Linked DNA regions of Canis lupus familiaris. The protein of the gene in region 2 purifies or fractionates together with the protein of the main gene of each other region. This does not show direct contact. Links are inferred from orthologs where the notes say so. Each region holds a gene or a part of one and is shown on either strand. Other genes may lie near its edges.

What was found. Proteins that work in one complex are often made in the same cells at the same time.
Region 1: the proteins of TBL1XR1 (region 2) and SMARCC2 fractionate together in Homo sapiens (co-fractionation; 3 studies listed by BioGRID, with this or other methods). This does not show direct contact. The link is inferred for Canis lupus familiaris from reciprocal best matches to the Homo sapiens genes TBL1XR1 and SMARCC2.
Region 3: the proteins of TBL1XR1 (region 2) and BAG2 purify together in Homo sapiens (affinity purification with mass spectrometry; 3 studies listed by BioGRID and IntAct, with this or other methods). This does not show direct contact. The link is inferred for Canis lupus familiaris from reciprocal best matches to the Homo sapiens genes TBL1XR1 and BAG2.

Annotation. Positions count from the first base shown.
Region 1 is NC_049231.1:853,897-858,216, reverse strand, and holds the start of SMARCC2 (SWI/SNF complex subunit SMARCC2), read left to right. Parts: upstream 1-1,488; 5' UTR 1,489-1,552; coding exon 1,553-1,663; intron 1,664-2,053; exon of another isoform or gene 2,054-2,081; coding exon of another isoform or gene 2,082-2,171; intron 2,172-2,409; exon of another isoform or gene 2,410-2,522; intron 2,523-3,424; coding exon 3,425-3,544; intron 3,545-4,320. UniProt on the Homo sapiens protein: Involved in transcriptional activation and repression of select genes by chromatin remodeling (alteration of DNA-nucleosome topology).
Region 2 is NC_049255.1:40,838,828-40,842,387, reverse strand, and holds part of TBL1XR1 (F-box-like/WD repeat-containing protein TBL1XR1), read left to right. Parts: intron 1-2,634; coding exon 2,635-2,756; intron 2,757-2,897; coding exon 2,898-2,972; intron 2,973-3,560. UniProt on the Homo sapiens protein: F-box-like protein involved in the recruitment of the ubiquitin/19S proteasome complex to nuclear receptor-regulated transcription units. Plays an essential role in transcription activation mediated by nuclear receptors.
Region 3 is NC_049233.1:24,621,790-24,625,833, reverse strand, and holds the start of BAG2 (BAG family molecular chaperone regulator 2), read right to left. Parts: upstream 2,833-4,044; 5' UTR 2,718-2,832; coding exon 2,605-2,717; intron 1-2,604. UniProt on the Homo sapiens protein: Co-chaperone for HSP70 and HSC70 chaperone proteins. Acts as a nucleotide-exchange factor (NEF) promoting the release of ADP from the HSP70 and HSC70 proteins thereby triggering client/substrate protein release.

The DNA of each region.
Region 1 (4,320 bases), on a different chromosome or scaffold from region 2:
AGTGGGAAACTGCAAGGTACAGATGCATAGAAAGCTCTTGAACTACTCAAGTAAATGTGAATTACTCTTGAGCTCCCTGATCCTTCTTGGAGAAGATGATGCTGTGCAAGAAATGAAACACCAAAAGAACATCCCCAACAAGTATCATTCCCCTCTAACCTCTAACCGGGGGAGAACAGGAGGGTTAGAGGTTAAAGAGGGAATTAATTCCCTAGCTTGGTTAATACACGGAGAATTTAGAACAGTGCTTGGCACATAAGGAGCATTCGGTAAAAACACACATTCGGGGTGTTCTCTGCCGCGCTCCAGCTCCAGCTCGGGCTGCAGTGTTGACGTTCCAACAGGCTGTCCTCCTAGCCCTGGAAACACCGAGAGGCGCCTCCTCACATCAAATGAGACCATGCCTTTTCTTGGGGCTCAATTACAACCAGACTTCCGGTCATGAAATCCAGAGGTGCCCTCTTTTCCTGGAAACTCTAGTTTTGAGTATCCTAGCACAACAGGCATCCACATTTCCAAAAACCTAACCCTTCTTCAAATCCTTTGCCATTCGTTTCCCCAAGAATGAAAACGTGCGCCAAAGCTCTCAGACCCGAAGCCCCAGGACGCGGCAAGTGCCTTGCGTCCGGGCAGACCGGCGGCTGTGCGAGGGCAGGCTTCCCTCGCTCACCTGCATCCCGCCCGGTCGTGGGGAGACCTCGGGCCGAAGGGGAGTGCGCGAGGGGCACGGGCGCGGGGCCCCTCGACGCCTCCTGAGCGAGAAAAAAAGCGGCCGTCACGAACAGGATTCGAACCTGTGCGGGGGAAACCCCATTGGATTTCGAGTCCAACGCCTTAACCACTCGGCCACCGTGACTCCCCAGACCGCGCTCCGCCGCGCGCTTACAGGAGGGGCCGCGCCCCCGGGCCCCCCGCCTCCACGGCGCTCCGAGGACAGCCGGGCGGCCCCCGGAGGGCCCGGCGGACGGGGGTGGCCCTCCCCGGGAGGACGGGTCTCCCAGGCGCCGGCGAGGCCTGCGGGGGGCCAGCTGGGGGCAGCGGCCGGCCGGGGCGGCGGGGGGCGGCCGAGGGCTCCTCGGGTCACCGCGGCAGGGGGCTGGCCGGGCGTGGGGGGCTCGGGCGATGGGAGCAAGGCGCTTCCTGGGCAGGGGGCCGGGGTGCCCGGGCCGTGCGGGCTCGGGGACTGGGAGCGCGGGGCAGGGCCGGCCTGGCTCCCCGGAGGGCAGGGCCGGGGGGCCCTCCGGCGTCCGCTTGGGGCGGGTGGGCGGCCCCCCGCGCCCTGGGCTGAGAGGCCGCGGGAGGAGAGGCTTCGCGCCGGGGAGGCCGCGGGGGAGGCCGCCGGGGAGGCCGCCGGGTGCGCCCCGCGTCGGGAGCCGCGCCGCCGCCGTGGCCGAGCGGCCGGCAGGGGGCGCTGCGCGGGCCGGGCCGGCCCAGGCGGCGGCAGGCGGCGGCCGCGGCGGCGGGAGGCGGCGGGAGGCGGGCGGAGGAGGAGGCGGAGGAGGCGGGAGCTGAGCGGCGCGGGGCGGGCGGCGGCGGGCCCGAGCCCGAGAAGATGGCGGTGCGGAAGAAGGACGGCGGCCCCAACGTGAAGTACTACGAGGCCGCGGACACCGTGACCCAGTTCGACAACGTGAGGCTCTGGCTCGGCAAGAACTACAAGAAGGTACGCGGGCAGGGCCGCGCGGCCGGGGGCGGGACAAAGGCCGCGGCCGCCCGCGCCCCCCGCGGCCCCCGCGGCCCCCGCGGCCCCGTTTCTCGCCGCCGCGCGGCGAGTCCCGGCGCCGACCGCCCCCGCCCGGGGCCACAGCCCTGCGGGCCCTTCCGGGAGAGGCGGCGGGGGGCGGACGCGGCGCCGGATGCCCCCGGCCCAGCCCGCCCGCCGGAGCTGCCCCGAGCCGGGCCGGCGGCGCTGAGGCCTCCGCGGGCTTTGTGTCCGCCCGGGAGGCGGTGGGAGCGGGCGGGTAAACAGGCGCCGGGCAGGCCGGGCCCGCGGGCGGCAGCGCCCCCCCACCTGTCCCCGCCGCCCGCCCCACGGGAGCCGGGAGCTCGCAGCCCCGGGCACAGCCTCCTGCCACCTCACAATGGAGCCCCCGGCCGCTGGCCTCGCACCGCTCGGGTCCGGGGCGCCGGGCCCAGGACGCTGCTGCCTCAGCCCCCGTCCGCGCCTGCAGGTGACAAGCGGCTGAACAAAGGGCTCAGAAAGCCTTACCTGACTTTCCGTCGAACCTCCCCCGGCGCTGTCTTTGTCTCGGGGCCCGGCCGAGAGGGCCGTCCGCCCCGGCTGCGCCCGCGGACAGCTCGGCCTCCGCCCCGCGCCGCCCGGTGGGAGGCTCGCCGTCGGCCCGGCTCTTCCTGCCCAGCTCCGCAGCCTGTCAGGAGCTGCCGGGCGCTTAGGAGTCCGCCCCCCGGCCCGGCCGCGGCCCTTCCCCCGCGGCTCCTGACAACCAGCTGCCGGGCCGGGGGCGCCTGCACCCCAGCGCGAGGCCTCGGCTCCCAGGCCTCCACCTTTGACCTTCCGGAAGGTCCGGAAGGGAGATGAGCGGGGGCTTAGTCTCTGGCCGGGGGGCGGGGGGGGGGATGGGGGGGCTGACGGCCCTTTGTCGCTTACCCTCTGGTGCGAGGCGCTCTCTACATCTCCCACTGAGAGGAGCGCTGGTCTCTGTGACTAGGGTTGAGGAAGCAGGGGTCAAAAGGTAAAGAGAAAGTTAGCCTCCTGGCTCAGATTTAAATTAGAACAGGAGGCTAGGATACTAGGTAGCGGCACATGGAAATGCGTGAGAAGGCCCGGGGTTGCTTGTCTCAGATACTGTTTCCTCAGAAAGCATCAATGTTTTCTTGCTCTTCCTCACCAGGCTGGGTAGGAGCTGGTCCTTGCCCCCTCGAAGGCGTTTGTGCCCAGTTCCTAGCAGAAGCAGAAGGCCCGGCTGGCACTCTCCGTCTGTTTGGCGTGCCTCACTTCCTTGCACCTTTCTTGTTAGGCTATGTTGCAGGGGGAGTCTCGGCCTCCACAAAGTTACCCCCAAGAAATACACTGTGGTCTGGCTTAGAGCCTCAAAGATACTGCTTCCTTTGCCTGCATTTACTGAACCTTCAGGATCTTACCGCCCTCAGTGCTGTTGACTAGAAATCAGGATCCTACAACTAACAACCAGTTTCAGAACGTAGCTGACAAGTAGGAAGCCCCACTTGCCTCCAGCACCGGCTGCTGGCAGGCTGGGTTGGGGGCAGCAGAATTTCAGCTTCCGGTGAGGGGCTTAGATGCCTTCCCTTCTGCCATTTTCTTTATAGAAACTAGACATGTGGGGGAAGGAGACACTATTTTTTCCACCCCAGATGCTTCCAGGGCCCCTTGGGAAAAAATAAGGGAGATAGTGGACAGTTTGTCTGAGGTCTACTTCTCTTCCGTTTGCCTCTGTTTCCCCAGTATATACAAGCTGAACCACCTACCAACAAGTCCTTGTCTAGCCTGGTTGTACAGTTGCTACAGTTTCAGGAAGAAGTTTTTGGCAAACATGTCAGCAATGCGCCGCTCACTAAACTGCCGGTGAGTGCAAATGCAAGGGGATGAATCCTCCAAACTGGAGAGGGAACTGTGGGGTTTTTGTAAATCTCATACTTTTGGAGATGTGGGTAATTGCCTGTTATCCCCATTCCTGGTCAGGGCGTTACTGGCTTGCCTTGGTCCCCAATTTACTCCTCCCTTTGTCTTAGTAATACTTGGTGCAGCGAGGTGCACCTGACTGGCTGAGTCGCTGCAGTGTGCTACTCTTGATCTGGGGGTTGTGAATTTGGTGTTGCGTGTAGAGACTTCTTAAAATCTCTATTCTTCTTAAAAAAGAAAAAAAAACTTTATTCAACAGGTTATATGTCTGAGCTCGTACATGAAACTCTTGTGGCATGGTTGAAAGGGTACAAGATTGGGATTTGCATTGGCTTGTGTTCAAATCCTGGCTCTGCCACTTGGTATCTCTGTGATCTTGGGCAAGCCATTTAAACCTTTTAAGTGTCTGTTTTTCATCTCTAGATGGGAATAATATCTCTACCTTGTAGGGTTTCTGTAATGGTCAATGAGGTGACCCAGTAAGTACGTGGCACAAGATGGGGCTTTGTGAATACTGGTTTTTTTCTTTCCCCCTTCTTCCAGGCCACGTGATACTGTGGCATAAGGGTTAAAGAATTCCACCTTTGGGGGCACCTGGGTGGTTCAGTCGGTTGGGCCTCCCAACTCAATTTTGGCTGAGATCTCGAACTCAGGGCTATGGGATCAAGCCCTGCATGGGGCTCCGTGCTCAGCGAGGTGTCTGCTTAAGACTCTCTCCC
Region 2 (3,560 bases):
AACACAACTCTCACATATCACTTACATAAAAAATGCATTTTGTTGTGAGATGTAAATTCTTTTTTTTTTTTTTAAGTTTATTAAGTAATCTCTACACCCATCCGGGGGCTCAGACTAAGAACCCCGAGATCAAGAGTCCCATGCTCTTCCAGCTGAGCCAGCCAGGCACCCCATAGAGATGTATTTCTTTCCTAATGAATTTGCATTACCTAGACTCATTTTATTTTAGGAGTAAACAAAAGGTAAGGAGGTAGGTGTTCTTCGATTATACCAATCTTGTAACCATTGTATTTTATGAGCCAGGGATATCACAAAGCATAAATCCTACAACTCATGCTGAAGCACTCCCCAGCTTCCCCCAGTTAGCTTCACTGGGCCACACAGTTTATTTTTGTGTCATTCTGAACCTAATGGTGTATTTGTTTGAATGCCACGTTCTTTTCTCAGCCTCCCATCTCATATTCTGCGGACAGCTCTAAATTAATATCCGGATACATCATGACAGACACTTGCCATTCTTTGTGACATTTTGTCATACCTTTACTTGTTCTCTGAGTTTATTAGATTTTTCAGGCTTACACACACACACACACACACACACACACACGTGCGCTTAACACTAGAATCAACTATTTATCAAGTAAATATTTTGTTAAAATTATTTTTGAAATGGTATCTTACGTAATAGTAATGTAATGTCAAAATGAACCTGGTAGCTACTGAGTCAGATTCCAGGCATGAAAACAGAATCTAAACCAGGTAGTCGAGAAGCGGGAATTTAATCGGAGGAAACAGCTGCAGAGGTGTTGGAAGAGTGCGAACCAGAGGACTGTGGGTAACTGGGTCGGAGGGGAACAGCCGCAGACAGCCGGCCTCTGGAGGAGGCAGGAGCCAGCTGCCCAGCGGGAGCTCGAGCCGGAGAAGGCGGCCTGCCCGGCGTTGCGGGCACCCTGGCGGCGGCCGCTGCCCGAGGCCCCGGCTCCGGGGAGATGAGCGCACAGGCTTCTCTGTTTCTCGGGACCGTGGCTCTCGCGGTCTGTGTCCACCTGGAGCCCCGTGGGCCCGGGATGCGGAGTCCGTGTGCGGAGCTATCAGGGCAGGGTGGCGAGGGGTGGCCCTGAGGGCAAGCAGGCGACACGCGCACAGTCACCAGCCTGCACCCGAGGTGACGCCGGTCCGCCCAGCTTTGAGCCGGGGGTTGTTAGGGACGCACCCGCCCGCAGCGGCTGCTGCTGGTGGGCTTCGGCCGGCTGGGTACCGGGTGCTCTCCGCGCGCAGCCCACACTCCGGGTCTCAACCTTCACTCTTTCCCCCAAACCCGGCTCCGTGCCACGCGCGCTGGGTGCCACCCTCAGGCTTGGGGGCGGCGGGGCCCCCGATGGCAGGGAACGCTCCCGCAGCAGCCCATGGGCCGGCCAGGCACCGAGTGGCGTGGACAGCCCGTGACCGTTACGCGTGGATTCACACGGCGGGGTGGCGGGCGTGCCCCTCCCGTGGGCCTCAGTGGGGTCCGCCTTACCTAGTGCTTCGTAGCCCTCACCCCCCCGCCCCCACTTTCCTCCTGGGCTCCGAGCGGGACGTGCCGGGGCTGGTGCGGCCCCCCCGGGAGCGCAGGGCCACCGCCATCTGGGACCGTGAGCGCAGCCAGGGCCTCCCAACACCTCGTGACATGGATACGAGAATCCGAGTCTTGTGTGATGTTCACACTCCTAGGCCTTTTGATCACGTGTCATCTCGGATCCACAGCCGAACGGACATGACAGCGACTGGGCTGGTGGGCCACAGGCCCCCCGCCGCTCCAGGTCTGGGGTGGCTTACCCCGCTTACTTGCCGTCATTCCCCTATCTGCGTTCCTAATTATAGAGCGCCTTTGCACCTTGCAGCCTGGGGAAACGGGAAGAATCTCCAGTCATATCAGAGCTAACATGGGTATTAATAGCCTGCCAGCTTTTGGGCGTCTGAGGGTTTTAAATTCAATGACACGGATTTTAGCAGTTATTTGACAAGAATGACTTAGAAGAAAATGTATTTGCGACCCTATACAATATTGCACTTATCAGTTGGGTGGATATGGAAATTATTCAGTATAACGTCTGTCTAACTTGCAATTTACAAAGTACTTTTCACACACATCTTGATCTTCACAATATCCTTGTGTACTAAGCCTAAAGGTTTTATTCCCCCTTTTTATAGATGGGGAAACCAGCATGAAAGGTTAAATGACTCGCTTGGGGTCCAGCGGTTAGGGAGTGGCCGACTGAAGCCCCCGTGCCCATCAAATACTCGAGGAATTTTAGAAATAAAAGGAAGTATGACATCACGTTTAAATGTTTACGAACGCGACGCTAAGGATCCAGTCCTGGTAACTCATGGAGCAAGCGCTCAGGAGCCCTCACCTCCTGTGTTACTTCCTTAGGCTGTGGCTCACATAGAGACACCCGAACTGAAATTTATTAGTGTTTGTGATATTTAGATCATCATTTTTAAAATTCAATTAGTATTTTAAAGATCATAAAGTAAGATGTTTAAGTTCCTATTAGCATACTGAAATGCCCAAGCGTGATTTAGAACTAAAGCTCCTAGATTTCAGTGCTTGTGGAATGAAGGCAAACCTGTAGCCCTTTTCCTTTTCAGCTCCGGCACTGGATGTTGATTGGCAGAGCAACAACACCTTTGCTTCTTGTAGTACAGATATGTGCATTCATGTCTGTAAATTAGGACAAGACAGACCTATCAAAACATTCCAGGGACACACGGTGAGTAACCTTCTTTTCGCCCTTGAAAGTGGTTATGATGACTAAGTGATACAGCAGGTGGCTTTCAGGGATGTGTGTTTAATGTCCAAAGAGCAACGCAGTCTGTACCGTGAAAATGTGACTGTGCCCTGTTCTCTTTAGAATGAAGTAAATGCTATCAAATGGGACCCAACTGGCAATCTTCTGGCCTCCTGTTCTGATGACATGACTTTGAAGGTAATTGAAACAGTGGGGTTGAAGTGGCAGTGGCCGTGTCCTGAAGAAGGGCTGCTCTGGCCATTTTTAGATTCTCGAGAGCATCTGTCCTAGCGTCCATTCGACGCCTTAACCGGGATCAGGATTCACTCTACTTTTTAATAGTCAATCGTTATTTATTTGTTTTGCTTAGTATTCCCAGTGTTTAGATATAGCAAAAAGAACGCTTGGTGGGAATTGTGGCACTAAGAAACATGCTGTCTGCACTTCTCGAAGGTCATATACTGGTGCGGTTCAAGTTCTATTTGCACGTGTGAAAATTTGACAAGTAACAGATCTTCGTCGCATTCATGGATTTTACCGAAATTCTGTGGATTGTGTTAATTTGATTCTGTGGTGTGAATATATATCATCCTTGCTGGGAAGCTGGGCTGTAGCACAGCATTGCTTAGTTGCTGAGTGGGTCTAGCTGACATGCCTGCATCCACAGCTCGACATGAATTTATGTTTTTCTTGTCAGTGTGACTAGAGACAAAACTACCACCTTGCATGTGTGCACCTCACATTTAGGAACAAAAAGCATTTTGAGATGAAGAACAGCCTAATATT
Region 3 (4,044 bases), on a different chromosome or scaffold from region 2:
TTTTAAGAGGAAGCAAAAAATGAAAAGAGGTGGAGTCAAGAAAGAGGCTAGTGTCATGGTAAAGTATTAGAAACAAATGGAATTCCTTCAACAATATAGAATGCTGCCATACGTGATTAAAAAATCATGCCCACCATTAGGCATAAAGCATTTAGCATAATTCTGTCTTTAGTCTCATATGGAAGAAGGTCTACCACAAGTGATAAAATCAGTTGGGGAACTATATGCAAACTTTAAGTATCAAACTACAGTGTTTTATTCTACCTAAAACAATGCTTTATGAGTCATCCTTAATATGAAATTGAACTATTAGAGCAAAATTACCTATTTGTTTCTTTTACAAAGCTTCTAGGCATGATGCTAGTTTTTAACAATGTGGGGTTCTGTGACACTGCCCATGTAGTTTCAAAGGAACTTTAACGGATCATTAGTATTTTTCTTTATTTTTACTATTTTTACTACCTTTTAAAACACTTCCTTAGATCACAATTACTTTTTACAAATTTTAATTATTTTTTAAAAACTCAATTTCACTTTTTTATTTTATTTTTTAAAGATTTTATTTATGTATTCATGAGAAACACACAGAGAAAGGGAGAGGCAGAGACACAGGCAGAGGGAGAAGCAGGCTCCAAGCAGGGAACCAGACATGGGACTTGATCCGGAGGCTCCAGGATCAGGCCCTGGGCTGAAGGTGGCGCTAAACCGCTGAGCCACCTGGGCTGCCCTACATTTTTTTTTTTTTTTTTTAAAGGAAGAAACAAAGCTTACAAAAGTCTTAAAACTACTAAAGAAGTCCTTAAAATGAGCAATTAGCACATTTTAGTCTTTCCTCCTCAGCTCAAGGGTTAATTAAGCAAGTCATAATCTAATCACTGGTATAATAATCAGTTCACTTTACATTAATCAAACATTAGAATATACGAATACTCAAAACCAGAGGCCTTCTTTTAAAGATGAGTACCTGACTGCTTTTGTGTCTATCAGACACGAGATGTTCATTCAAGTTTGAGGGGAATGACTCAGCTTGAAGAAGGGAGGGGCAACGTTCCTCATTCCTTTCAGAAAAAAATCTTTTCTGATAGTGCCAAGAGAGCCCTGAAATGCTTCGGAACACATCAAAGTTCTAAACACCTGGGGAGATGTGTAAGTTACTTGTAATGTGCTGCTACACCAAAAGAAATATTATTCTTTGGGGCGACATTAAGTAGCTGAAGCCACCGATCTCTAGTTTTGTTCCACTTTCTCTGGGGAGTAAATGCATCAAGCTCAACCCAGGGGAAGCATTACTTTTTCTCTGGTTCCATATGTGTCATTCTGGGCAGAACCCTAGAAGGTGGTTTTGGACTGCGGTTTCTCTATCTGTTGTCATCCACAAAATCGTTGTGGATGGAGAATTTCTCATTTTCCGACTCTTCTCTCAGGGTAATAATAATAATCATAAATGCCTCAACTGCTGAGATATATTGTGGTTATTAATGCACTGTCCTGGCAAATAAACCCCTCTTCTTGCTTTGGTATATAAATTGAGGGAGATAGACATGCACGCGCTGCTTCTTAAAATTTTTGGCTGACGTGCTTCCTTGCTCACCCAGAACCCGATGAAAACTACGGGGGGGGGGGGGGGAGGAGGGGGGAAGAATCGGTATGGCCTCAGGGGTTTGTGGAGTCTTAGTAAGATTTTGACTTATCTACACCTGCACACCATTTACACAGTAACTTTGGTGACAAACTCTTAGAGGAAGTACGTGAAAGTTTTTTCAGACGCTGTTAAGGGAAACAATAATTTCCAAAATTTGCTGTTCGTTATTTAGAAATTGTATACAAGCCTAAGTTAAGGGGGGGAGGGGGAAGAGTAAAAAAAAAAAAAAAAACCTATCTTATGCTTTCAGGCCAATGACTAGCACTTTCGAGAAGGTGTCTTCTAAGGAAGGAGGTACACAATAAATAGCGAGAAACTAACAGAATTTCTGAATTCAGTTTGCGGGGTTAGGGGGGAAATGGAAGCCGCAGGGTCTTCCTCCACCAAGTGCCCAGCCGCCGTTCACCCCGCGGCCCCTCATCTGTCCTACTCCTCCCTCTTCTTGCTCTCAGACAGATTTCTAGATTTTTACTGTTTTTTTCTCTCTCTCTGTGTTTTGGAGCAAAGAAACTTATCAGTCACATGGGGTGGGGGGAACCCCTGAACTATCGCCTTTCCTACAGATGCGTAGTAGAAAAAGAGAAGTTAGAGACATCTGGGGGGAACCACATAGCGGCACTCAGAAAATTCTAGACCTTCAGTAGACCCGGGGTGTCACGGGGTGTCACGGTCTCTAACCTCAGAGAACGCCACCGTAACTCTTACCTTCTGTGATCCTCTCAGTTCCCCACAGCCCAGGTCTGTTCAGGAGAATGCGGCCACCCTTCCCGCGCTCACAGGCTCTCGCTTGGGTCGAACGCGCTTTCTCTGGCGCGGAGGCGGCGGCCCCCCGAGCCGGGCGGCAGCGCACGGTCCCCGCGGGGAACAAATCTCAGGCGAGCAACTTCTCCGGCCGCGGCCCGCCCGCCGCGCACGCGCCCCCCGCCCTGCCGCCCGCCCGCCCGCCCGCCCGCGCCGCTCACCTGAGCTCCAGCTGGTCCAGGCTCTCCAGCAGGCGGCTGGAGCGGTCCGCCATGGAGGAGGAGCGGCAGAAGCGCCCCTCGTTGGCTTTCGCGTTGATCTTGGCCTGAGCCATCTGAGCCTCCGAGGCGGGGGCGGCCAAGAGGTCACCGGCCTCTCGGGCGACGTTGAGTGGAGAGTCCGGCGGCCGCAGGCGTCGCCGTCACCGCGCGGGGCGCCCGCCCCCCTCTGACGCCCGCTGGGGGGCGGCCCGGGAGGACGCGCCGACACCGCCGCTGCCGCGTGGCCAAACAAGGACAAGCGCGCCGCCCGCCGGGCTGGGGGCTGCGGTGCCCGCGGGAGGGCGCTGGCCTCGGGGCCTCGAGGGTGGGCCGCCCGGGCCGAGGCCAGAGGAGACGCGCCCCGCGGCCTCCGAGGCACCTGGAGGGGCGGGCGCGGGCAGGGGGCCTCACGTGACCGCCGGATCTCTCTCTCTCTCTCTCTCCCCCTCTGTCCCGACCCTAGAACGACCGAAAGCCCAGCGGAGACCCACGGAACAGCCCCCTCCCCGCCCCCGGGAACCGGGACTCCGTGCGGCCTGAACGTAACCACCTCCCCCCCCACGGAGGTACCTGACGGTAGGCTGTGGGTAATGACCGGGGCCGGCTTCGCTCACTTTCTCCCAGCGCCCATCATTCGTGTCAGAACCCAAACCATTAAAAATCCTTTGATATGGGAAGAAAAGGATAGCACTTAAGTACAGCTCCCAGGCAGTCTGGGCTTGCCTCAGCTTGTTACCAGTCCCTTTTCTGAGGTGGAAATAATGAAAGCCTGGACACCACTACTGAGGCTTACAGGGGAAAAAAGAAAAAGCTATCCCATCTTTCTTTGACACCCAACTTATTTAAATCTCCTGTAATTTAAAAAAACGTGGCACGTTACTGGGGCATATACTATAAAGGTCAGTAAGAGCAGGACTGGGAGCACAGGTTTATGTACTTAAAAACTTGCGCTTTGCTCTCATGTCGTTATAGCTGTACGCCTTATATTGCAAGGATGAGAATGAACTGCGCGCATAAAATGATAATAACACTTTAAAGCTGAATCACAACCTTTTTATCTGAGATCAAAGCCATTTAACTACTTGAACGGAGACAGGGCCTTCAGCCTGGATCCCAGTTCCCTCTGAATTCAATCTACATACTAATAAACTATTTGTGTAAGGTATTATTTGACTTCATTAAATATATTTTGTCATTATCAGGACACAGACTTGGAATCCAAAGATATGCTGGGAATGGTTTGAAAGTCTATCATGTACTTTTAGAATTATCTTGGATTCTTTTTCTCTCTTATCCTACAGATCCAATCCCTAAGTAAATCCCCTCAGCTCTACTTTTAGAATATACTAGGATTCTTCTCCCCAGTTCCACTGCTACCACTCTGGTCCCAACCACCATCAA